3 linked regions of the Nothobranchius furzeri genome follow. Each later gene encodes a partner of the first gene's protein in a complex. Links are inferred from orthologs where the notes say so. Each region holds a gene or a part of one and is shown in the gene's direction. Other genes may lie near its edges.

Region 1 (7,273 bases):
TTCCAGTCTGGTAAGTGTGTAATAAATCCAAATATGCAATATGTTGTTGTTTTTTATTTGTTGTAATAGTCTCTGCTTGAAAATTGACATTATAATGAGTGTAATCGTGTTTTTTCATCTTTAAACCACCTTCAGGCTGGCTGCCTGTGTTGGCTGAGATGATGCAGTCTCCTCACATCATGCAGGCGTCTCATGCAGCTCGAGCTCTGGCCAACCTGGACAGAGATACAGTAACAGAAAAATACCAGGACGGTGTCTACATCCTCCACCCACAAACACGTGACAAGTAGAACAGCTGTCTTTTGAATTTATTCTCTAGATTTCAAAGCTTTATTCTTCTTCTTCAGTAGAACGCAACACTTAGCTTTGACATTGTGTTCATTTCCAGCCAGCCAATCAAAGCAGACGTGCTGTTTATTCATGGGATTCTAGGAGCAGCTTTTAAGACATGGAGGCAGAAGGACCGCAGTACGTTAGAGGAAGAGAGGGACGCTAAAGGCAGCGATGACTATACAGAGTGTTGGCCAAAGGTAACAGATCCTCAGAATTCTTAGAGCTGCACAAGAAACCAAATATGATCTTTTTTGGACAGATTTTGATGTTTCCTGAGGAAATACAAGCTTTAATTCTCATGTCTTTTTCTTCTTGGTTATCGGCAGTCATGGCTAGCTGCTGATTGCCCAAATTTGAGAGTGCTGTCAGTGGAGTATGACAGCCATCTGAGTGACTGGATGGCCAAGTGTCCAGCTGAGAATCAAAGGTGAAAATTTCTAGTTTATTCACTTATTTGTGGGGGAAAAACAAAACAAAAAAATGGCTAAATAGGAATTGAATCTAACTTTGTCCAGCAATTATCTTATTCTGCATAATTTATCCTACATCCTTACCTTTTATATCGTCATATTAAGTAAATTAAGTTACAATTTCATGTGATTTTTTTAGTAAACCCAGTCGATTGAGTGGAGGATTAGTTGTCTGTTTGTCTTTCCAGGAAGTCGTTGGCCTACAGAAGTCGAGAGCTGCTAAATAAGTTAAAGCTGGCAGGAGTTGGAGAGAGGCCTGTGGTTTGGGTAGCTCACAGTATGGGAGGTACTCTGTCTGTGCTGCCTTTACCACAAACTTGTCAGACTTTTACCCAGATTTCTGCAACAATCTCTTGATCACATTTCTGGCTATGTGCGACTGTTTCAGGAAAAATAATCAATCTGTGCTCTCTGGGATGTGACTCTCCTCTTAGGACTGCTGGTGAAGAAAATGCTGTTGGATGCTGCGGACGACCCAGACTTGCAGGGATTGATAAAGAACACTAAGGGAATAATGTTCTATAGTGTTCCTCACCGTGGCACCTTAATGGCAGAGTACTCTGTGAATGTCAGATACCTTCTATTTCCTTCTATAGAAGTCAGAGAACTCTGCAAAGGTGAGGGCTGTGATCATTCCTTCTAAAATGGCTTGAATTAAATAGTTTGTTGTCTGCAATGAGTCGATGTCTGTGTGTTCAAAGACTCCCCAGCTCTGCGTAACCTGAATGAGGGTTTTCTGAAAATTGCCAAAGAAAATGAAATCAAAGTGCTGAGCTTTGCAGAGACGTTGCCCACAAATATTGGTCCTATGATTAAGATATTTGTGGTCCCAACTCAGTCAGCAGGTATGTAAGATACAGTGGGGAAAAGTCAATGAGCTATACTTTTGATAAAATAATAAAAATCTGTCATCCAGTTTCTTACCTTCTCTTTTTGAGTAATCTCTCGTTTTGTTCCAGATCTGGGCATCGGAGAGCTCATTCAGGTGGATGTGGATCACCTGAACATCTGCAAACCAGAGAAGAAGGACTCGTTTCTCTACAGACGCAGCCTCCAGTTCATCCAGGAAGCACTCCAGAGATACACAAGCCAATAAAAGACATACAAGCACATCAGTAGTGACATTAAATTGTTTACTTGAAGTTTGAGGAACACTGAGTCCTTCCACCAACAAACTCAAAACCCCAAACCTCTTTTTGTACACGTTTACAACCATAATGTGAGATGTTAACAATCATAATGCAGACACATTTATTTCACACACTTACTAACTGTGATAGATAAACCCGAACCTCTGATTTGTTATCTTTTTACATTTTCCTCCCTTATGTTTTCATTTTTACCGGTCAAAGTCATGTTTCGAGTAAACTCATATTATGAGAAGTACCACCATCTTTCCATTTTAGACCTTGCAGCCACAACAAATATATATTTACTTAAAGATGCATTTTTAAAAACTGCTTCTATGTAGTTTTGATCAGAGTAATGGTTGAAATGTTATTTTTGTATTCATTCATTCTACTGAAACGTGTTGTTTTTTGTGCCAAATGGATTATTTGCCAAGCCTTTTTTAAAATGGCCCTGATTTAATATATTAGGTCAACTCTATTAATTTTATTACATTAATTATGCATCACAATGGGCCAACATATACTAGAAATGAGAATAAATCAAATGAATGAGTACATTTGTTGAGTTTGACTTGTCTATGCATTCATTAAATGATGTATTAAAATACTGAATACAACAGAATTGTTAAATGGAAATCGTTTGGTGTTTATTTTCTAACTTAATCTGACAAAAAGTAATTTAACAAGCATCCATTGCAAAATAGTTAAAAACAAATGTACATGTGCAATACTCACACACACATGCATACGTACGCATGTATACATATGTATGTATGCATGTACATACACGTACACGTTTGTTCAGAAATCTTGCATTATAGATCACTTGGTGGAATTGGGCTGGGAGTAAAGCACAGGAGCGTCAAATATTTTTAATAACAATTTTTCAAAAATCACAGTGAAATCGTTATAATATAAGCAGATAATTACGTGAAATGTACCAGATAGCGTGGAAGAACATGTTAAACGGAAGTGGCAAAAATGCGCATCCTTCAATGCTATAGTGGTAGAGGAAGATTGTCCCTGGTTGCTCGCCGTAGATCTTACCTCAATGCTACGGAACTTAGCTTAAAAAGCAGCTGCTGTTGGGTCTGAACGAGTAGTTTTACACGATTTCTTACCAACTTTAGTGTTCTCCCGAACATTGTGGTTGTTGTGGTAAGTTTTAATTAGAACGTTTTGCTTAAAAGTGTTGCAAAATACGTTGTTAGCTTGTTATTTTTAGCTTGTTTACTATTTCTCATGAATTTTCTCTGTACATTAACTGTCCGGTATGAATATGTGTTGTATATGCATACAGTATTTATGTTACTGTCGCAACATTTTTGCACGTTTTGTTTATTTTGCAGACTTTAATCAACTACACCTGTCATCATGGTGAATGTTCACAAGGGTGTTCTTGTTGAATGGTAAGGAACTTCAGAGTGAAGAAAACTGTAAAATTACTTTCTTCTGTAGAAAACTCCTACAATTATAATGTCTTTTTCCTCTCCATGTTCTGTTTCAGTGATCCTGCTATGAAACAGTTTCTCCTCTACCTAGATGAAACCATGGCTTTAGGAAAGAAGTTCATCATCAAGGATCTTGACGACACACACGTTTTTATCCTGGCAGAGGTGGTCCAGACTCTTCAGGAGAGAGTTGGGGAGTTAATGGACCAGAATTCATTCCCCATCACGCAAAAATAACCCTCAGATCTTTGACTTTCCTCTCATGGACTACTCAATTTGTTGTTGTTTGCTTTTGCTTAATAAAATGAGACATGTAAATGTTTTGGTTTGATAAAAGTGGAAGTGATCAATTGGATAAAAAGTTTCTATTTTTGTGGAGTTCTTTTTCACTTGTAGATGGGGAACAAAAATAATCTATTAAAAGTACTTGTTAATTCACACCATAATTTAACCAAATCAGATTTTTCATTTAATCTAGTTCCGATAGAAAAATAGAAAATCCCTTTATCCACAGTGGAGAAATTTGGGTTAAAGGAATATATGTACATATCTAGAATGGCATGCCAGCCTAGCAATTACATTCATGGCAGGAGCAAAATGAGAAAAATATGATAAACAAAACCTCACAGTTACCTAAGGCATTTGAAGAGGTACATTACAACAGAGTAATTATTGTGAGAAAATAATTCAATTGTTGTTTTTATGATATCAGGGATTCAATTAGTGCTTTCAGATAGAAACCAGAGAAGAAATTGACATTTCTCACAAATCTCATAACGTTAATGAAATACTGAGATAATGAGTTTTCCCTGTTTAAAATGTTTTGCCACCTTCAGTTTGTTCTATTGATGAATGAAATGACAGAGATACAGTTATAATTGTGAAAAGTCTAACACTAGACAGTGTCCCTAATGTTATGTTAGGTGGACAGAAACTGCAAATGTACTTTTAACATGTCTGAGGATAGAAATTTTATAAACGAGCAAATTCTACATCCGAGCATTTCAGTAATGTAACACAGTTGTTTCCTCCAGTGGTTAAATGACCATCGGACTGTCAGAGAGCAGCATGGAATGACAGAAAGAACAAGAAATATAAAGACAGCAGTGGTTCAACACAAAGCATTACATTGTTTGTGGAATGGTTTTGCAGGCTCTGGGACCTGATGATACCTGGACCCTACAAAGGTAGTACAGGTAGTCCTACTTCACCAGGATGACACATCTATATGTTCCATTGCCAGAAGGTTTGATGCATCACCCAGCACAGTCTCAAGAGTGGGGAGTACATTTTTGGAGGAGAGCAGTAACTCTCAAAGAGCTAAACAGGGCTGTTGAAGATCATTCACCCATCAGCAGGACCTGTATCTGTGGAAGGAGGAACAAGACGAGTACAGCCAGGTTTTTCAGTTTAAAGTTTTTGGTAACTTTTAATTACCAACTGTCTAGGTTGCTATTGTGCATTTTTTTCTTTCCTTCTAAGTACGATCTTATGTGTTGTCATGTAATTTTTATTATCTGTCAACTAAAGTGGCACAGTAGGTCTTTAAATTAATTTCTGTGGAAATAAATTGGAAACTCGACTACTTTCTTCTACAATCTGCTCTTTAACTGTATTATTTTCTGCTATTTCAGCTGTTAACTTTATTTTTTCTCTCCCCAGAAGAAGCTACAATGATGTTCTGCTGAGCTGTGGTAGCCTCATGTGGTAGCCATCGGCCTGAAAACTGCTGCTAACCATTTTTCCCTCTCCTGATAATAAATTTTTACTTGCTTTGACATTGGATGTGCTACTACTAGTTTACCCATTTAATTATAGATTCACTAGGATAAATACAATGAAGTTAATCTCTCACCAAATAGAATATTTACTTAGAAATCACAATGTGACCATAGAAACACTACTTCGTATATATGTTGTGTGTGTGTGTGTGCCTGCTCTGTCTTCTCCATCCCCAGTGAGTCGTGGAGGATGGCTGCTTATACTGAGCCAGGATTCTCTGAAGGTTTCTTCCTGTTAAAAGGGAGTTTTCCTCTCCACTGTCGCTATATGCTTGCTTAGTATGAGGATTGCTGTATAGTCACTGACACTAATCAGTGACTTGATGCAGTTTGCTGGGTTCCTTATATAGGAAACATTTTTTCTGATTGGCTTAATGAACTGACCTGAATTGGAATGTTTAAGTGAAGTGCCTTGAGATGACTCTTGTCGTGATTTGGCGCTATATAAATAAACGAATTGAATTGAATTTCTGAAATACGACATGATTTGAGAAACTCTGCTTCTTCACATGGTTTTATTTATACTTTTTACATCAATTTAAACTTTATGCAGCACTCATGTCTCCCTAAACCTCAGTTTAAGAAAAAGTTTTCACATGAAGTGCTATTTTTGTATATATTAGTGTGTTTCTTTTTGTAAAAATGACCACACTTTCAATGAGTTTTAATCAATTGGTCTGCTCAGAGGACTAGTTTTTGTCATGTGTTTGCATTCATGACCTTGTCATGAGCGGGTGTTCCACCAAGGCAAATTATTGTCTCACTGCAAAAAATTGATATTTTCACTGATATTTTATAGTGTAAATGCACTGTTCAAAATGTAGTTTGTGTTGTTGCGCCCTCTCCTGGTTGAAAATAAAATGATCAGACGACAAAATGAAAAACTAAAAGCCACATTCAAGAGAACAAACAATGACTTTGAAAGTACTGATCAGAGATTATCTTTGGGTTGATTTTGCAAAAAGATTTGTCAAAACAATTTCTGAGTTACAGATAGTCATCGACTGTCACCAAGGTAAAATTATACTGAAAAGTAGTTTACTCATTACTGAGAGGTCTGTTATGTGAAAAATGTATTAGAATGTGTGTTTGGTGGGGGTGGGGACCCACTTGTCAGGGACTTGCCCAAACCAGCCAGAGACACACTACTCATGAGACTCAAAAACCTCCATTTTATTTTGGAGCAGCTTCACAGGTAACAGAAACTTTAACCCAATCACAGCACAAGACCATCTCCAGAAAACAAAAGACATTTCAGACACACCAGGTTCAACTTAAATAGTGGCTGATCAGACCACTCTACATACAAGAGGGGAACAATTAACATACAATTAACACACACATCCTCACACACACACACAAACTAACCAGTCTAATCAATTCAGGTAACTCAAATAACTAAATCATAATTACAAACTTCCTATCCATAACAGAAAACATCTACATTAAATTTGACACAAGTATAAACATGAATCTCCCCTCCCTTGGGAGTTGGTAGATCCCAGGAGTGCCGATTAGGCTTCCTGAGGAGATGAGCTGCAGGTGTGAGACTCCATGGGAAACTCCAAGTCACTGGTAACTCAAAACAGAAACACAAAATTAACACATACATTCATAAACAGAAGACTGATTGTGTGCACATCAACCAGTCATCCTGGACAGAACACAGAAAACACCACCAGCAGACCATGTCCATGAGGTGACAGACACTGCTGTCACACCACCATTGAGGCTTATGTCAACATTTTTAAGGTCTTTACTTGTTGCTGGTATTTAAATAAACATTTTTACTATGTTGTGCATGTGTATAACAGCTATTGTTGACCAATTTTTATTTATTCAGGGAAGGTAGGCAGCTCAGATAATTACAGGCCCATTGCTCTTGCAAGCATACTCTCTAGGGTTTTTGAAGAAATACCACTGACAAGATTGGACAAATTGATACTGTGTACTGACAATCAATTTGGATTTAAGCCTAAACATCGCACTGATATGCTTTAAAGTAACTATCAAGTAGCTTCAAATACAAAAACTCAACTGTTTTATGTGTTTTTAGATGCCTCCAAGGTCTTTGAAGAAAGAAGAAGAAAATATCATTTCTACAGCGC
Region 2 (7,504 bases), on another chromosome or scaffold:
AGCGTCGGCAGTAGCTCGGGCTAGCGTCGGCAGCAGCTCAGGCTAGCATTGGCAGCAGCTCGGGCTAGCATTGGCAGTAGCTCAGGCTAGCATTGGCAGCTGCTTGGGCTAGCATTGGCAGTAGTTCAGGCTAGCATTGGCAGCAGCTTGGGCTAGCATTGGCAGTAGCTCAGGCTAGCATTGGCAGCAGCTTGGGCTAGCATTGGCAGTAGCTCAGGCTAGCATTGGCAGCAGCTTGGGCTAGCATTGGCAGTAGCTCAGGCCAACGTTGACAGTTGCTCAGGATAGTGTTAGCAGTATCTTGGAATAGCATTGGCTGTAGCTCGGGATAGTGTTGGCAGTAGTTTAGGGTGGTGCTAGTGTTAGCTCAAGTAGCATAGCTGTGGCTAACTTTGTTCTGTAGTTAACATGATCATGGCCAGTGTCTATATAATGCTGAACTTGAAGTTGGTTGGAACATGCCAATAGGGCTTGCGACCACACGTGATTAAGCATAGCATTCTGGAGACGGCACAGACCTTTAGGCTGCGAGTTGCCCACATTTCCAACCTGACTCCAAGTTGGAGCCCTGAACAAATTTGCAGACATGCATCTAAATTTTGCTGCTGCCAGCTTCCATCCTGCATGTCAAAAATTTGAGACTGTTGCAGATTGAGCTTGTGTTGAATTTTTTCCCCAAAGCTTTGGTTTGCCTCAGGGAAAACGGAAGGTCAGAGCAGACAAAGAGCTGCTTTATAGTGAAGTGGGAAAACAAAAAGGTTGACGTGAAAGAGCACGTTTGTAGCATCAGCAGTCACGAGGGCATGGTTTTAACACTTCTTCCTCTTTGGAAAGAAGCCAGTTTTTCCGACACCATCCATTTAAACCAAAGTTAAAAGCCAAGTTCACGCAGCAAAGTGAAAGAGATGTTTAAATTCCCCCTCATTCTCTCAAATATGTGCTCACGTCTCATGGATCTCTGGGCTTCCTCCTCGTTTTCATCATCACTATTAATGACCATGGTGCCCAGGTCCGACTCCAGCATGGTGCTGTGCTCAATCATGGTCTGTGCCCCGTCGCTCATGGTGCTGGTGGCTCGCATGGTCCCCGCGCCCTCGGTTCCAGACTTCACCATGGTGTGAGAGTCCACCTCCGTCTCGTCCTCCTATAGGAGACAAACCCCTGCAGTATAAACGTTTTACTGGAACTTTATTGGTTAATGCACGTGAACAAAACGTACAGAGTTGTCCTCTTCCTCCTCTAGCTCTCTCTGCTGCTCCTGCTGCCTCTTCGCCTTCATCTCCATGGCTTCAGTGATCAGATCTCTCAGGATCGTGACCGGCTTGGCCTGGCTGATGAACGGATGCTGCGTTTCCACAACAGGAAAAGGAAATTAAATCGCTCAGATTGGAAGCAGGATTGTACAGATGAAGACCTTCTTGCTCCAACCTGTAGTAACTGAGTTGCAGTTGCTCTCTGCTCTGGGTTTTTAACCAAACACTTCTTTACAAAGTCTGTGAAATCGTCTGACCAAAGCTCCGGCTTCCGAAACGTAGGAGGGGGGTTGGTGGGGATCATAAAGATGGCCTGTGGGAAATCAAAAGTGGGAAAGTGTCAAATGTTTTCTTTTAAAACCCTAAATTCATTAAAAACTAAAGAATACGCACCCTCATAGGATGGATGTCAGCGTAGGGAGGTTTACCCTCAGCCATTTCTATGGATGTGATACCCAGAGACCAGATGTCTGCAACACAGTTGTAGCCGATCTCCTGGATCACTTCTGGGGCCATCCAAAATGGCGTCCCAATCACAGTGTTCCTCTTTGCCATCGTGTCCTTCAGACATTAAACACATACCATCAAAATTCAGCCAGAGATCGACTGAAGCTGGCATCAGTGCATTGCTGCAAACATTTGGCGACAGTGTTACCGTAAGCTGTCCTGCAACGCCAAAGTCAGCCAGTTTGGCGTGCCCCTCGGTGTTGAGAAGGATGTTTCCCGCCTTGATGTCGCGGTGGATCTTTCTCATGAAGTGAAGATACTCGAGACCCTTCAGTGTTGACTTGAGGATGGTGGCAATCTCCTCTTCTGTCAGCTGACGTGGGAAAAAAAGGAAAATACAAAAGTAAATCAGCAATTTAACCTATTTTATGAGCCAAGCTGTAACTTTTTAGAAACGCGCACCGTTTTGTTTCTCAGCCTGATGATGTCAGAAACAGAGCCGGCTCCGCAGTACTCCATGACTATCCACAGATCTGTGTTTTTAAAGTAGCTGCCGTAGTATTTCACAACATACGGGCTAAGAGGAAGGCAAACAAACGTGGTTCTAAAAAACTGGTGCAAAGGCGACTTTGGACAGTCTCATTCATTAGAATTAAAGAAAGTTGGGGTGTCACCTGTCACACTGCTGCATGATGGAGATCTCCTTGATGATTTCCTGCAGGTCAGACTCCACAGGAACCTGCTTGATGGCCACCACCTGCCCTGACTCTTTATGAATGGCTTTAAATACACTGCCATAGGAGCTGATTACACAAAGAAATGCATCTTTTAAGTGAAACTACTAAATAAACTATGATTTACACAGTAATTAGATCAAGTTAAAACATCTCACCCTTCACCAAGTTTCTCTAAAACATCAAACACCTCCTCCGGCTGCTTGGTCAAGCTGTCCTCGCTCAGCTTTTTCAGCTTGCTGAAAAATTCAGCAAAAATATTGTGTATTTAACACAATGTCTCTTTAATAATGGAAGAAAGACACAATATTTCTTTATATATGCACATCAAAGTTTATTTTATAGAGTAAACATTACTTTCTGTAGGAGAACTTGAGTGTGTGTTTATAACTTAAGAGGAATGATGAAAATAATTGATGAAATCTAGATAAAAATACTGTTTAAAAAAATTTTGAGATATTTTTGGTCTTTGATCATAATCTGGATTTAATGCAACCTAGTATCAATGTACACAAATTAAACAGATAATAAACAATTTAATCCTACTGTCTTATAAAATTTAAATACATTTTAAATTTAATTAACTTAAAAGGTGCTAGCTTAAGCTAACCAGTAAATAGATCGGTCCAAAATAAAGTAAACAGTTACTTCGAATAAATTATGATTTTCCTTAATACACATTTAATTTATTATATATTTTTGAAGCGACAATGAAATCACCCCCAACGACGCGAAATCCAAAAACGTCTAAACAATTAAACAAACCATAATCTCAATGGAGGTTTTAACCGGTTTTGTGTTTTTACTTTCTGCTTGTTTATCTCTGTGGAAAGTTTGAGAGAACTGAATTCGCTTAGCATTAGCATCCTGAGCTACCGCCTACATTAGCCTGGTGGTAAAGCAGAGGTCTCAAAGCAAACGTTCACAAACCTTTTAGGCGCGGACGGCTCCATGGTACACCAACTCGGAAACAAAAGTCAAACAAAGTATGAAAAAGAGAGCGCGGGTTTGTCAGTGGTAGTCAAGACGTGGACATTGTCGGCAGATTCGTTGTTGTCACAAACTAGTGGAGGAGGGCCAGCTGGGGGGAGCTCTTCAAATGATGGACATTCTTGTGTTCGACGCTGCGACAGCGCCCCCTGTCGGGACGGAAGCGCACTTTACATTGTTTTATTTTACAAAAACACAATTACGAATCAGATTGACAATGTTTGGCTCGAGTCAAAAACAAAAACTCTAAATAAAGTCTAATTTATTCATAAGGTCCCAAAAGAATACTAAATTAAGCCAGAATTTGTAGCGTAACGGTAATTGAAAAATGAAACACCCGTGTTGTGGATTTGCTTTCAAGAGGATGTTGTGTCAAGACAGGAACATTTTTAGTATAAAATATACAAAAAAAAATTCTTTGCTTCCAATTTTTAAAATCAGTTCAGATGTGTTTCGAATAATTCACAATGCCTCAAAACCGCTGGGTGACAGTAAAGGCACGTAAAGCGTGTCGATCGTCCTGTAAAACCAAGAAGAAGAAATTTGACGCAAGCGCAGAAACCCAATCGTAAAAGCGGATGGTTTAGTGTGTGAAAACAGTAAACATTTCCCAAATTACGCAGTTAAACGGTGAGTCATTTCGCTTCCTTTCATCAGTAATTAACTAAATGCATGTACACGGTTTAATTTGTGCTCTGTGCGTATACAGTTTCACCAAATTCAGAGACGTTTATGCAGTTTTGAGCTAATGTCCGGAGCACCATGCTGTTTCTGTTAGCATGCTAACAAGAAGAAGGGTTGTTGATGAAATGTTTACATTTCTGTCTTTTATAGAACAAAATGGACACACAGAAAGATCTACAGCCGCCCAAGCAGCAACCAATGATCTACATTTGTGGAGGTTTGCTGATGAAGCAACTATCATTGCAATTCTTGATGGTTTTATTCACGAAATATAGAAAAGTCATCAGAAAAATACTAGTTATGACTAATTAAAACATATTTCTTATTAGTAAATATTCCATTTTAGCCTGACAGCATGTAAACGTCGATTGTTAATGTGTTTGCACAATTATACTGTTCTAAATTAATTTTGCAGCAGTTCTGAAATACATTTATATGTCTTTATAAATGTATATATTTTTTTTTTATGCAGAGTGTCACACTGAAAACGAAATAAAGGCCCGCGACCCGATCAGATGCAGAGAATGTGGCTACAGAATCATGTACAAGAAGAGAACAAAGAGATGTATCCTTTCTCTCTCTCTCTCGTGTGTGTGTGTGTGTGTGTGTGTGTGTGTGTGTGTGTGTGTGTGTGTGTGCTTATTTTCCTTGACTCATTGATTCCAGTGGTTGTTTTTGATGCACGATGAAGAGGAGTGGAGCTGCAGATTGATCTTTAGTTGTTGTTTTCTGTTTTTATTGAGTCTGACCTTGTAAATAAACATAAACTGGGGCTTCAGCTTTCATGTTGGTGTAGATTCTCGCTCATTCGGGTCGTGGCATTCCTAAATTGCACTTCTTGCTGAAACATCTTAGAGCAGCAAGATAAATTCAGCCTTTTTGGTTTTTGGCATCCGCGGTTTGTGTCAGGTGTTCCTTATGTTATTTTAGTAAATAATAATGATGCATAAAAGTTTTATTTTAGAAAAATCAGTTTGATTTGACTGTTTTCTTTTAAAATCCTTTGTGGCCAGCAACATTAACAGGATGAAAACTCTTCAGTTAGTTTAACACATCTGCTAAATAGATATGATCCACAGTCATTCCTGAAATAAAAATCAACCTTTAGGATTTAAATTCAAAGTTTTAACCACATTTCTCTAAGAAGGAAAATTCTCATCTGCTGGCCAACAATTCACAGATTCACCAATGTTTTTTGGTTTGTTTATCTGAGAGCACGTTGTCGTGTTTATTTTAAAATTTTCATAATCTTGTTAAATTATGGGGTCTCATTTCTAAGTGAGACTTGTTTTAATCAAACATGCAAGAGAAGAAATTAGTAACAAGAATATTTAGTTACGAAGAAGATTGTAAAAAAAGTGTCTAAATAAAATGTGGAAAGAAAATCAGTTTCTCAAAAACGTTTGACTCAAAAATATTTAAGTGAAGAAAAGGTTTTTGTTAGCTTTTACAAATTCAATTCAATTCAAGTTTATTTATGTAGCGCCAAATCACGACAAGAGTCGTCTCAAGGCACTTCACATAATAAACATACCAATCCAGGTCAGTTCATTAAGCCAATCAGAAATAATGTTTCCTATATAAGGAACCAAGCAAATTGCATCAAGTCACTGACTAGTGTCAGTGACTATACAGCAATCCTCATACTAAGCAAGCATAAAGCGACAGTGGGGAGGAAAACTCCCTTTTAACAGGAAGAAACCTCCAGAGAATCCTGGCTCAGTGTAAGCAGGCATCCTCCACGACTCACTGGGGATCGAGAAGACAGAGCAGACACACACACACACACACACACACACACGTGCGCACACATACTCACACACGCGCACACACAAAGACACACACACACACACACGTGCGCACGCATACTCACACACGCGCACACACAAAGACAAGTAATGTGTCTATAGTTATATTGTGATGTCTTAGTAAATATTCTATTTGGTGAAAGATAAACTTTATTGTGTTTGTTCTAGTGGATCTATAATTAAACGGATAAACTAGTATTAGCACATCGCACGTCAAGGAAAGCAAAAAGTTATTATCAGGAGAGGGATAATGTTTTAGTGGTTAGCAGCAGTGTGCTAGTCGATGGCCCCCTCCATGAGGCCACCACAGCTCAGCAGAACATTGTTGTAGCTTCTTCTGGGGAGAAAAACACTTACAGAGAAAATAAAGTTAACAGCTGAAATTGCAGAAAATAATGCAGTTAAAGAGCAGATTGTAGAAGAAAGTAGTCGAGTGTGAAAAGTGGTCAGTGTATCCTCCAGCAGTCTAAGCCAATAGCAGCATAACTACAGAGATAACTCTGGATAATCTATCCTATTTAGTTGGAGGCATGTTGGAGTCAGGGCAAGGGAGAGCCGTCTTTACCGACTGTACACTCCACCTCCCTCTACTCCCCCAATTGTCCAGATTTAGGCTAACATCAGATTTTAACCATAGGCCCTATCAAATAAAAATGTTTTAAGCCTATTCTTAAAAGTAGACAAAGTGTCTGCCTCACGGACTAAAGCTGGAAGCTGGTTCCACAGGAGAGGAGCCTGATAACTAAAAGATCTGCCTCCCATCCTAATTTTAGATATTCTTGGAACCACCAGTAGACCTGCAGTCTGAGAGCGAATTGCTCGGTTAGGAACATATGGAACAATCAGATCACTGATGTATGATGGAGCTTGATCATTAAGAGCTTTATATGTGAGAAGGATTATCTTAAAATCTATTCTGAATTTAACAGGTAGCCAATGTAGGGAAGCTAAGACAGGAGAGATATGATCTCTCTTTTTAATTCTCATCAGAACTCTAGCTGCAGCATTTTGGACAAGCTGAAGACTTTTGACTACATTCTGTGGACTTCCTGAAAGTAATGAATTACAGTAATCCAGTCTTGATGTAATAAATGCATGAACTAGTTTCTCAGCATCACTCCTGGAAAGGATGCTTCTAATCTTAGCAATATTCCGAAGGTGGAAAAAGAAAGTCCTACAAGCTTGTGAAACCTGGGATTTGAATGACATGTCCTGGTCAAAGATAACACCAAGGTTCCTTACTTTGTTCTCGGAGATTAATGTAATGCCATTCAGGTCAGGCGATTGGCTAAGCAATTTCCTTTTCTGGATTTCTGGTCCAAAGATGAGAACTTCCGTCTTGTCTTGATTTAAAAGCAAAAAGTTTAGAGTCATCCAATGTTTTATGTCCTCAAGACAAGCCTGTAATCTACCCAACCGATTAGGTTCATCAGGGTTAATGGATAAATATAGCTGAGTATCGTCAGCATAACAGTGGAAGTTTATCCCATGCTGTCTAATGATTTTACCAATTGGGAGCATATATATAGTAAAAAGAATTGGTCCAAGCACTGAACCCTGTGGTACTCCACAAGTAACCCTGGAGTAT
Region 3 (9,048 bases), about 17 Mb from region 1:
TAAATCTGCCATCGCTATTGGCTAAGAGGTACCCTAGAACGTTGGCTGGTACCATATGATGTCACAATGTCGTTGTGAGCCTGTGTGTGTGTTTATTTGTTAGTGGCTCCGCCCTCTCGGTCTGCTAGGCAACAGCATTTGTTGCATTTTTCAAACAGGAAGTGGGAGTTGAGTAAGAATCTGGCAGGGGGTGACTTGCTCTTTAAACTTTAACTGTCTTGAGCTCAATAATAAATAAAAATACTACACATCACCCTTTGGGGGATTATCTTAGATCTAAATAAAAATGTCATGACTTTAAATATAATTGTAAAAAATAATAAAAGTTAAATAATTTCTACTGTGAGATTAGATTAGCCAATGGGCTACCTTTTTAGACAGCAACATTAACCACTTATTGATAGAAAACATCACAATACAGTTAGAAAGGTGTTAAAAGCTAATTTTATTGTTTAAACCCATGAAGTGTCACCAAAACGTCTTTATAGTGTATTTAGTTAAGAGGTTTTTTTTGGCAAACTTCCTTTCTAATCCTAATGTTCAACAGTCTAGCGTCTTTTAGACGTTTCTGTCGCCCCCAAGCGGCCCAGCCTGATCACTGCACGGTTATCAAAGACAATTTTATACGTTTTCTTGTGTAAATGCAGCAAATCCAGCCATATTTAACTCAGATTAATGGAAAATAATATATTTACCATTAGAAGAGCTGGTGGATCAATGATTTTTTTACTTGTCCTTGCCAAAGTCACTTCACTATTCAAGCATGTCTCCATGGTTAGAAACTGTAAGGTTTTTGTTTAGTTTGACTTTGCTCTCTAAATTGGTGTTGACAGGTTGGTCGTAAACATGAAGACAGAATATTTTTTTCATTCTTAAAAGTATTTAGTGGGTTTTATCTATTTTACTAGCCTGGCAAGCCAGACTAAATAATATATTTGCAAAGCAAGAGTTTGGTCTAGTTCACTAGGCTACTATTTTACAACACCTTGTGTACAGATAAATACCCTAAATCTCATCTCAGAAGATCAAATGATTGTTGTACTCTTTTTTAAATAATTAAAATAATTGCAAATATGGTAATAAATAAACAGCACTTATCATTATTATTAGTAAGAATACCACAATTAATGGAAATGAAACATTATTTTAATAAAATCTCTCTTAAATTGTGGTGCTTGTTGAGTTTTACTGTCATCCATCACCCTCTAAAATGTCTTACTGATGCATTACTCCGGTGGATCATTTCCCCTCCTTGCTCTTAACACATCTCAGATGTTTACTGGTTAAAGATTTTTAACAAAACACAAAGTTTCTGCAAATCACCAGTATTTTTATTGTAAATCATGAGTTTAAATGACCAATAGTTAGCTTTAGCTGATGCAGTGAGTGCTGGACCAAGTCAAATGCTTTCTGCAAGGATTCAACAACCTGAGAAAGTGATGTTCCAAAACAATAGATGATTGTGTCATCTGCATACAAATGGATATTAGCATCTTTAATATTTTGGCCCAAGTCATTGATGTACAAGATAAATAGGAGGGGCCCCAGGACTGAGCCCTGGGGCACCCCCCTCCGGACAACCCCAAGATCAGAGCAAAGATCCTCACATTTAACACACTGTGTCCTGTTAGTCAGGTAATTTGAGAACCATGCTACTGAGTGCTCTGACAACCCAAGGCTTAGTAATCTGTTTATTAAAATAGCATGGTCAACGGTATCAAAAGCTTTAGACAGGTCTATGAACAGTGAGGCACAAAACTGTTTCCTATCAAGTGCTACTATAATATCATTTACCACCTTCATAACAGCTGTAGTAGTGCTGTACCCTTTTCTAAAACCCGATTGACATTTCGAGAGGATGTCATTTATAGACAAAAACTCTTTTAGCTGAACACTGACAAGTGACTCCATTATCTTGGAAAGCACACTTAAATTTGATATTGGCCTATAATTTGTCAAAACTGCTGGATCTCCTCCTTTTAATAATGGTAAAACATATGCTGACTTCCACTGTGATGGAATTTCTTTGGAGTTAATTGAAAGATTAAAAAGAATTGAAAGTGGCTCTGCCACATAATCCGCTGCCATCTTTAAAAAATAAGGTTCTATAAAATCAGGTCCAGGTGGCTTTCTGTGATCTATGTTTTTTAAAGCTTTGTGAACTTCATGCACTGTAAAAGGTTTAAAGTTAAAAGGAGCTCCAGAAAAATTTGGGGGTATTATACCAGATTTTATCAAAGGGGTTCCGACAAAATTAAACAGGGAACCCACCGAAAGAAAATGTTCGTTAAAACAATTTAAGATTTCGAGTCTGTTATAAATTGGAACTGAATCTCTAAGAACAAAAGTAGGAAGAGCCTGAGAGATCTTTTCCACAGCAAAAGACTTGATCACTTTCCAGAATCTCTGAGGATCTTTAAGATTTTCTGTGGTGACTGATAGAAAATATTCAGATTTTGCCTTTTTGATCAGGGAAGTACATTTTTTTCTCAGCTGCCTGAAAACAGACCAGTCAGTAGTCAACTCTGTTGTTCTTGCCTTGTTCCAAGCTCTATTTCGTTCATGTATTATGTTTGCCAATTCTGGTGAAAACCAAGGATTTTCACGGCCAAAACATCACATAAAAGTTTGAACAATAAACTTCAGGTCCCACCAGTTCTTGTTAAAGAAGCTGCCAAGATAAAACAATCTTTAAAAAGAAACCTTGGATCAAATCACGTGCAAAATCATTCATGATTGAAAGAGTTATGAGCTCCAGTAATTCTAAAGTGGCCTGGTGCTTTAGTCACTATCCGCTGTTGAAGGTGTGCTGATAGAAGACATCAGCATTGGTGGAGTAATCCATACGGATGGAGGAACCTAAACTCTGAACCCCAAGGCTAGCTCCGCCCAAAGCAGAGGACTGCTGTAAAGTCAGGAGGCTGTAGCCATGGAAACGGTCCTTCAACTTGTCTGATGATGCGGCTTTTTCCAGAACCTCTGTGAACCCTGCAGAAACACATAAAACATGCAGATGAGACTTCATCCAGAGGGTTTCATGGACCGTTATTACCATCAGCGACACAGACCCGGCTTCAGGAGAGACCAGCTCTTCCACACGGAGCCCACACACAGGACTGGCAGGCCGCGCTCACACCTTAATAACGCCTTAAACAACAAAACAGAAGAGAAATGCTCCAGTTTCATACATGCAAAAGTGAAACCAGAAGGCTTGTAGGTGTGGTCACCGGTTGAGCTGCAGGTAAAACTGACTCTACATGTTTAGCCAGAACTCTGCCAACCTGAGCGAACACATGCTGGCTGAGAGCATCCCCAGCCTCCGCACCTGGGACACAAAACACTCAGGATGACACTCTATTGTCCTAGAAACCTGAGCAGAAGTCCTGCTGCTGCTCACCTTCAGCCAGCTTCTTACAGAAGCCAGCAAAGTGGGACTTCTGGAAGTTCCTGCAGAGGTGAGGAAGCATTCCCATCAGATCCAACACCTGGGAGTAATGTTTTAATTATTCTGGGTTTAAAAGAACAGATTTGTCTTTGTGTTGCTGCTGTCTGACCTGGAAGTTCTCCTCCATGGCTTCTGTAACCCATGTGATGTCATAAGGAGGCGCCACCAAGTTGTCTTGAGCGTCAAACACCGTCTTCACGGCCAAACGAGCGATCCAGAAAGCTGAAGAAGAGATATGATTAAGATCACTGTGGTAACCACTGTGCCGTGCTGCGACCATGCTGACCACAGCCCTGCTGCTTCAAGGTCAAGAGCTGAGTCCGGTTGCAGGCCTCCTGCGACCATGCGCGAAGCGTTAAAATATGCCCTTCATGTCTTGGATGAAGACCCATCAAAGACTAACAGAGTTCTTCTCCTCTCTTCTGCAGAACAGAGTGCACATCCTCCTGCACCTGTTGAACCTGCACATGACTCAGTCGCAACGACGAGTCCTCCAAAACTGAAACATGCCCCAACGGTGTGTCCTGTGGCAACTGTGAGGTTTGGTGAGGTTGCTTCCGTTAGCTCTAAACCTCGAGCATCCAATGCACCTGTTAGCAGGTCAGGTAATCCTTACTTACCAGACAAACCTCCACTTAAGTTTTTCTGTGATATCATCCGTAAAGCTCCCAAGGAGAAACCTCACATCCCAGTGAACCTTGTGGGATCGCTTGGCTGTGGGGCTATCCTGGACTCTGGTTCGGACCTCACCATCATGTCCCGTTCTCTCTGGGAGAGTGTCTGCTTGGCTGCGTGCAGCTGAACAGGGTCGTGTCTTAACGCTCAGACCCTGCGCCGTGGATCTCAATCCTTTAACTCCAGATCCAATGGCCTTGTCGTCTGTAGCTTTCCTTGGAGTTTCGGTGGGTGGCATGTCTGCGAGACACCCAGTGTTTGTGTCTGACATTGAGGATTTTCCTTTTCTGTTGGGCGAAGAACTGCTCAAGCGCTTAAAGCGTTTCATTCTACTCGGTGGATAATTGGATAATAACATTTTTATTAGTAAAAAGGCTTGGAGAAAATAATAATAATAATAATAATAATAATAATAATGATATTTAAAATAGAAATACCCTAAACAAATCTATACTGTATTATCCAATTAAAGATTCATATTTTATCAATTTAACAAAATATTCTCACATTTAAAAGCATTAATTATTTCTATATAACTCAATATCAAATTATCAAATACTCCTCCTGGCAGTGAAATCGTATTCTTTAGCGTTAAACTAACTGAACCAATAATAATGCAGAGCACGCTGCATTAAAAAGCCTGGTAAACTTTAATGTCAGGCTTTCCGCTTTAAAACTACATTTCCCAGAAGCAGCCACCCTGATTAGTCATCAAATTCCGCAAAAATCTCGCGAGATTTTCTGTCTGAACCTGCCCTATGTCTCGCGCACTCGCAGCTCCTTCGCTCAGTATATAAAGCAGGACAGCGGCGAGAGGAAGACGGCTGGGGAGTCGCAGCCCGGGACTGTAAATAAGACCGTGAAAACTGTGTTTTATTTACAAAAGTGATGCCGGCTGTTCTAAACGATCTTTCCCAGTTGTTTTAAGTCTTTTTTTGGTCATTTTTGGCTCTGTCTCTCGCCTATTTCCGTGTGGTTTTTACACTACGCGTATAATGGCGAGCTCGGCTAACTCGAACCCAGTGGTAAGGATCAATCTCAACGGACTGCCAGTCGGGGGAAACGGGGGTAAAGTTGTCTAGAGGATGTGGAGGAGATGGGTTTTTTTCAGATGAATATGCTTGAACTAGCTCATCACTCCTGAGTGAAATTATAAAGGAAATACTAACTTTGAATAAGCCATAATTCGAAACTAGATATTCAAATGAAAACATGGCACTGAAGAAGCTTCTGCCGAGGCAAGTTTTGAATGATTTTACATTAAATAATGCTGGTTAAAGTGAAAATTTGTAATTACTTCAGGTTGAGACTTTGTTTAGCGCTAGTGTGATTTATCAGTGGCTGTTACGAGTCTTGGTTTATCATTTGGAGTCAGTGTTTGATCTTAGTGCCGTTCATTTAGCCCAGGGTGGATTATTGGACGAATTTGTTAGCCAGCTGACGTATTTGAGCTTAAATATTGGAAACCGCACATCTAATCAACAGACGTACCCAAAGCACATCGTCAACATCCACTTCCAAGTAAATTCAACTAGAGGATCTGATATTAAAAAGCCATTTTAGCGCAAAGTCTTGGACGCAGTCCGCGGCGCTGCCTCGTCGTGGTCCACCATTCCAGGACCAGAGGCGCAGAAAAGCGTCCCGAAACCCATTTTTGACCCATGATATCTCCGATGTCCTGCTCCCAAAACAAAGCCACCGAGTCAAAACTGGCAATTAAACGCATAAAACGAGAGCCTCTTTCTTTATTTGGCCTCATTTCGCTGAAAGAAAACGGCTCTGTGAGCGGGGCCGCTCCGTAAAATGGCTTCCACCTCTCCCGTCTCGCTCGGTTCTGGCCCTCCTCCCTGCCGGTGGCTGGCTTTATACCGCCATATTGGCTGTCTAATATAGACTGCTGGGATGGGACGGTGCTACACGACGCTACGTCACCGGCCCGCATATAAACACTTCACTGAGCTTTAATTTGTGGAGGAACCGACTGTCCGAGGGGGAGGGAAGGACGCACCGAGGTGTCCACCGCGGACATCGAGGCAGGGCGGTATCTTGGCTGGAAAGTCTCCGCAGACTTGAACGCTACGGTTGAGCTAGTAACGCAGTCCCGGCGGACATCTATGTAATTGTTTATGTTGACAGACGCGGTTGTGGATAAGATCCGGATGCTGAAGCACAGTTTGGATTATAATGGAGCTGTGAAACATTAATCTTGATTTATGCCAGGGGCGTATCTGAGATTTTTCAGGGTACGGGGCCCATCAAGGGGCCACAAAATTTATAGAAGAGCCAAGTATTAGTTCAGTGCCCTTAGGACAGGATTGCTTTATTTGTCATTGAACCAGCGTCTTGGTGCGATGAAATGTAGTTTCAGTACAACCTCTCCAAGATCAGACCGGTAATGCAAATATGTAAAAATAAGTAAGTGTGTGTGTGTGTGTGTGTGTGTGTGTGTGTGTGTGTGTGTGTGTGTGTGTGTGTGTGTGTGTGTGTGTGTGTGTCCGGTTTTAAAGTACTTTAAAGGTACAATATTAAGGGATTTTACAGTCAAATAATCATGTTGGAAAGAAGGTAACATTGACACAAATTTCATCCTCATGAAGTTAAAGATGTCATGAGCCGGACAGGAAGTGACAAGTGCGTCTGGTATATTTCAAAATAAAACCTGTGTCACATTATTTTTGCTGGCTTTTGTTTTATTATTGATGGCAGGGATATTAGTTTAGTGTATGATAGTTCATTAGTGTCGTTACAGGTGTGCCTTTAAATGTATTGTGTAGGACTTCCGCAAATGACGAATCGTGTCATGCCTAAAAGTGGCTTACTGCACCAGATGCTGTAAAATACCCATCATTAAGTTTGAAATGTGATAAGTTATGTGGCATTTAATAAAGACAAGATGATAGGTTATCAATAAACTTATAATTTACTTTGTAACCTGTTAAAACAAATGCTACACAGTAGGGTTGCAAATGTATCACCGCGATGTCAGTATGTGCAACACGCATATCGACAATAATGGAAATAAATCACAACGAAAGGTCAGCACAAATGTTTGTTAAACATAATGCATTTTGTCAAACGGAAGCATGATGTTTTAGACAAATCACACAAAGCTCTTCACCCATTTGGCCAATCGGGTCGGTTCTCATAGGTTATATGCCCACCTCGAAGGTGGACGGCACTTAATCTGGATGGATAGCAACAACCAGAGTTAGCCTCTATCTGCTGATTCAGGGATCTACTGATTGCCATTTCTTATTCATTTATTTATTTGTTTTAGAATATTTTGTTCCTGAGATGTTTTTATTTATTGCAAGTAGGGTTGTCACGGTGTGAAAATGTAACCTCACGGTTATTGTGAACAAAATTATCACTGTTTTCGGTATTATCGCGGTATTTTTTTAAGCGTGTTACATTTTCAGACAACTAAATAAACCCTGTATATCAGGAAAATATTGTCCTCAGTTTGTCTAAATTTTACCTAAAATGTGTTATTTTGTAATTATGTTGTTTATTTGTTAACATTTTCCCCTTTTGTCTTTAAAATACCAATATTTGCCCATAACTACTTATTTTTTGTCTGTTTGATGTCATCATTTTAAAAATATTACATCAGATGATACTCAGTACTCAAGTAGCCTTTAGATACTTTTTTACCCTTACTTGAGTAATAAACCCTATATCAGGAAAATATTGTCCTCGGTTTGTGTCCTTCCAGTGAGATTTGCAGATGTGGGAAAATGTCATCAGGCAGTAATCGTTGTTAAATTCATAATTATTCTCAGAGAGAGACCAACTCTTATCTGCCCCTGGGAGCCCCGTAATGCATAGCGTCATTTCAACATGGGGGTGTCCGCGATTTATATGCAGGTAGCGGCGCTGCGGCTGCTTTTATAGCGACTCGTTGCATTTTCCCTCAACATAAATCCTCGGATCACGCATTTTAGCTAAAACGCTAACTTGCCTTGCGTTGACTGTAGAGTTGTGGGTGATGGTCACGCAGATGTGTCATGAGATTTGAAGCGTTGCTGCCTTTCACAGACATTTTTTCTGCACGTGCTGCAAACAGGATAGCCGTCTTCTGTCAACTGTCCCTCGGCTTTCTTCAAATATCCAAAAAACGTCCGTACTTCCCACTTTGTCTTCTTTGAGGGATAATAAATGTCCTGAGCGCTGCCGTCTCCTCCTTTGGCCATTATTTCAGCTTTAGCTTCAAAAAAGTTTTGGTTGTAAACAACAAAGTGCGCATGTGCCGCCGGCAACTTCAGCAGATGATACGGTAGCTGGTAAGGGTCACCGCGCCTACACCGCAGCCACAGTAATCCACCGAGATAATATAGTTTTTGAAAAACAAGACGGTTATTATTGTCAACTTTTTTACCGGGATTTACCGCTACAACGGTTACCGTGACAACCCTAATTGCAAGTCATATTGTCACCACAATATTAATCACTGTTATCGCGTATCGCAGACTTTCCTGGTATTGTGCAGTCCTGCTACACAGTCAAATGGAGGTAGGCATCTAAAACCAAAAATAAATTGTGCACAAAAATAAATAGAAGTAACTCTGTTGTTAGCAACTAACGAGGAAATTAGCTTACAGAGGCGACTCTTTGTTCGCCGCCGTGACGTGCTTCCTTTTAAGGTGCTCATGCAATGCCTTTGTAAAATGCTCCCAAACCTTTGAGCTACGTTGCCGACTCGCCATGATGTCTCTTGCTCTGGTGATTCTATTTCGAAGGCTGATCCGGATGGCCACCACCGCGCATGTGCCTCAAGCAGAAAACAGCCACTGATGATGCCACAGCAGGCGAGGTTTAACAAATGCTCCTAGAGTAAATGCAACACGCTTAAATTCAGTATGTGAGTGAAACAAAACACCCAAATTCCTTTTTGGCTCATTAGCACCACTAGTGTTTGGACTTGGAAT

Evidence for each region. The genes of interacting proteins can lie anywhere in the genome.
Region 2: gtf2h5 (region 1) and polr2k share a complex: the UniProt entries of both Homo sapiens proteins name them as parts of the TBP-based Pol II pre-initiation complex. The link is inferred for Nothobranchius furzeri from reciprocal best matches to the Homo sapiens genes GTF2H5 and POLR2K.
Region 3: gtf2h5 (region 1) and gtf2a1 share a complex: the UniProt entries of both Homo sapiens proteins name them as parts of the TBP-based Pol II pre-initiation complex. The link is inferred for Nothobranchius furzeri from reciprocal best matches to the Homo sapiens genes GTF2H5 and GTF2A1.

What each region holds. Positions count from the first base shown.
Region 1 is NC_091742.1:2,690,684-2,697,956, reverse strand, and holds gtf2h5 (general transcription factor IIH subunit 5), read left to right. Parts: upstream 1-2,951; 5' UTR 2,952-3,091; intron 3,092-3,282; 5' UTR 3,283-3,307; coding exon 3,308-3,342; intron 3,343-3,440; coding exon 3,441-3,621; 3' UTR 3,622-3,756; downstream 3,757-7,273. Other genes in the region: protein SERAC1, read left to right, coding at 1-10, 136-286, 389-530, 660-760, 992-1,089, 1,238-1,420, 1,505-1,648, 1,763-1,899. UniProt on the Homo sapiens protein: Component of the general transcription and DNA repair factor IIH (TFIIH) core complex, which is involved in general and transcription-coupled nucleotide excision repair (NER) of damaged DNA and, when complexed to CAK, in RNA transcription by RNA polymerase II.
Region 2 is NC_091759.1:1,438,317-1,445,820, forward strand, and holds polr2k (DNA-directed RNA polymerases I, II, and III subunit RPABC4), read left to right. Parts: upstream 1-3,922; 5' UTR 3,923-4,054; intron 4,055-4,258; 5' UTR 4,259-4,264; coding exon 4,265-4,325; intron 4,326-4,580; coding exon 4,581-4,673; intron 4,674-4,774; coding exon 4,775-4,797; 3' UTR 4,798-4,893; downstream 4,894-7,504. Other genes in the region: stk3 (serine/threonine-protein kinase 3), read right to left, coding at 946-1,144, 1,220-1,345, 1,429-1,566, 1,647-1,814, 1,909-2,073, 2,163-2,277, 2,375-2,503, 2,593-2,673 and 1 more. UniProt on the Homo sapiens protein: DNA-dependent RNA polymerase catalyzes the transcription of DNA into RNA using the four ribonucleoside triphosphates as substrates.
Region 3 is NC_091742.1:19,634,943-19,643,990, forward strand, and holds the start of gtf2a1 (transcription initiation factor IIA subunit 1), read left to right. Parts: upstream 1-4,137; 5' UTR 4,138-5,115; coding exon 5,116-5,145; intron 5,146-5,611; exon of another isoform or gene 5,612-5,727; intron 5,728-6,384; exon of another isoform or gene 6,385-6,512; intron 6,513-9,048. Other genes in the region: N-acetyl-D-glucosamine kinase, read right to left, coding at 2,789-2,988, 3,069-3,147, 3,228-3,325, 3,398-3,485, 3,555-3,725. UniProt on the Homo sapiens protein: TFIIA is a component of the transcription machinery of RNA polymerase II and plays an important role in transcriptional activation. TFIIA in a complex with TBP mediates transcriptional activity.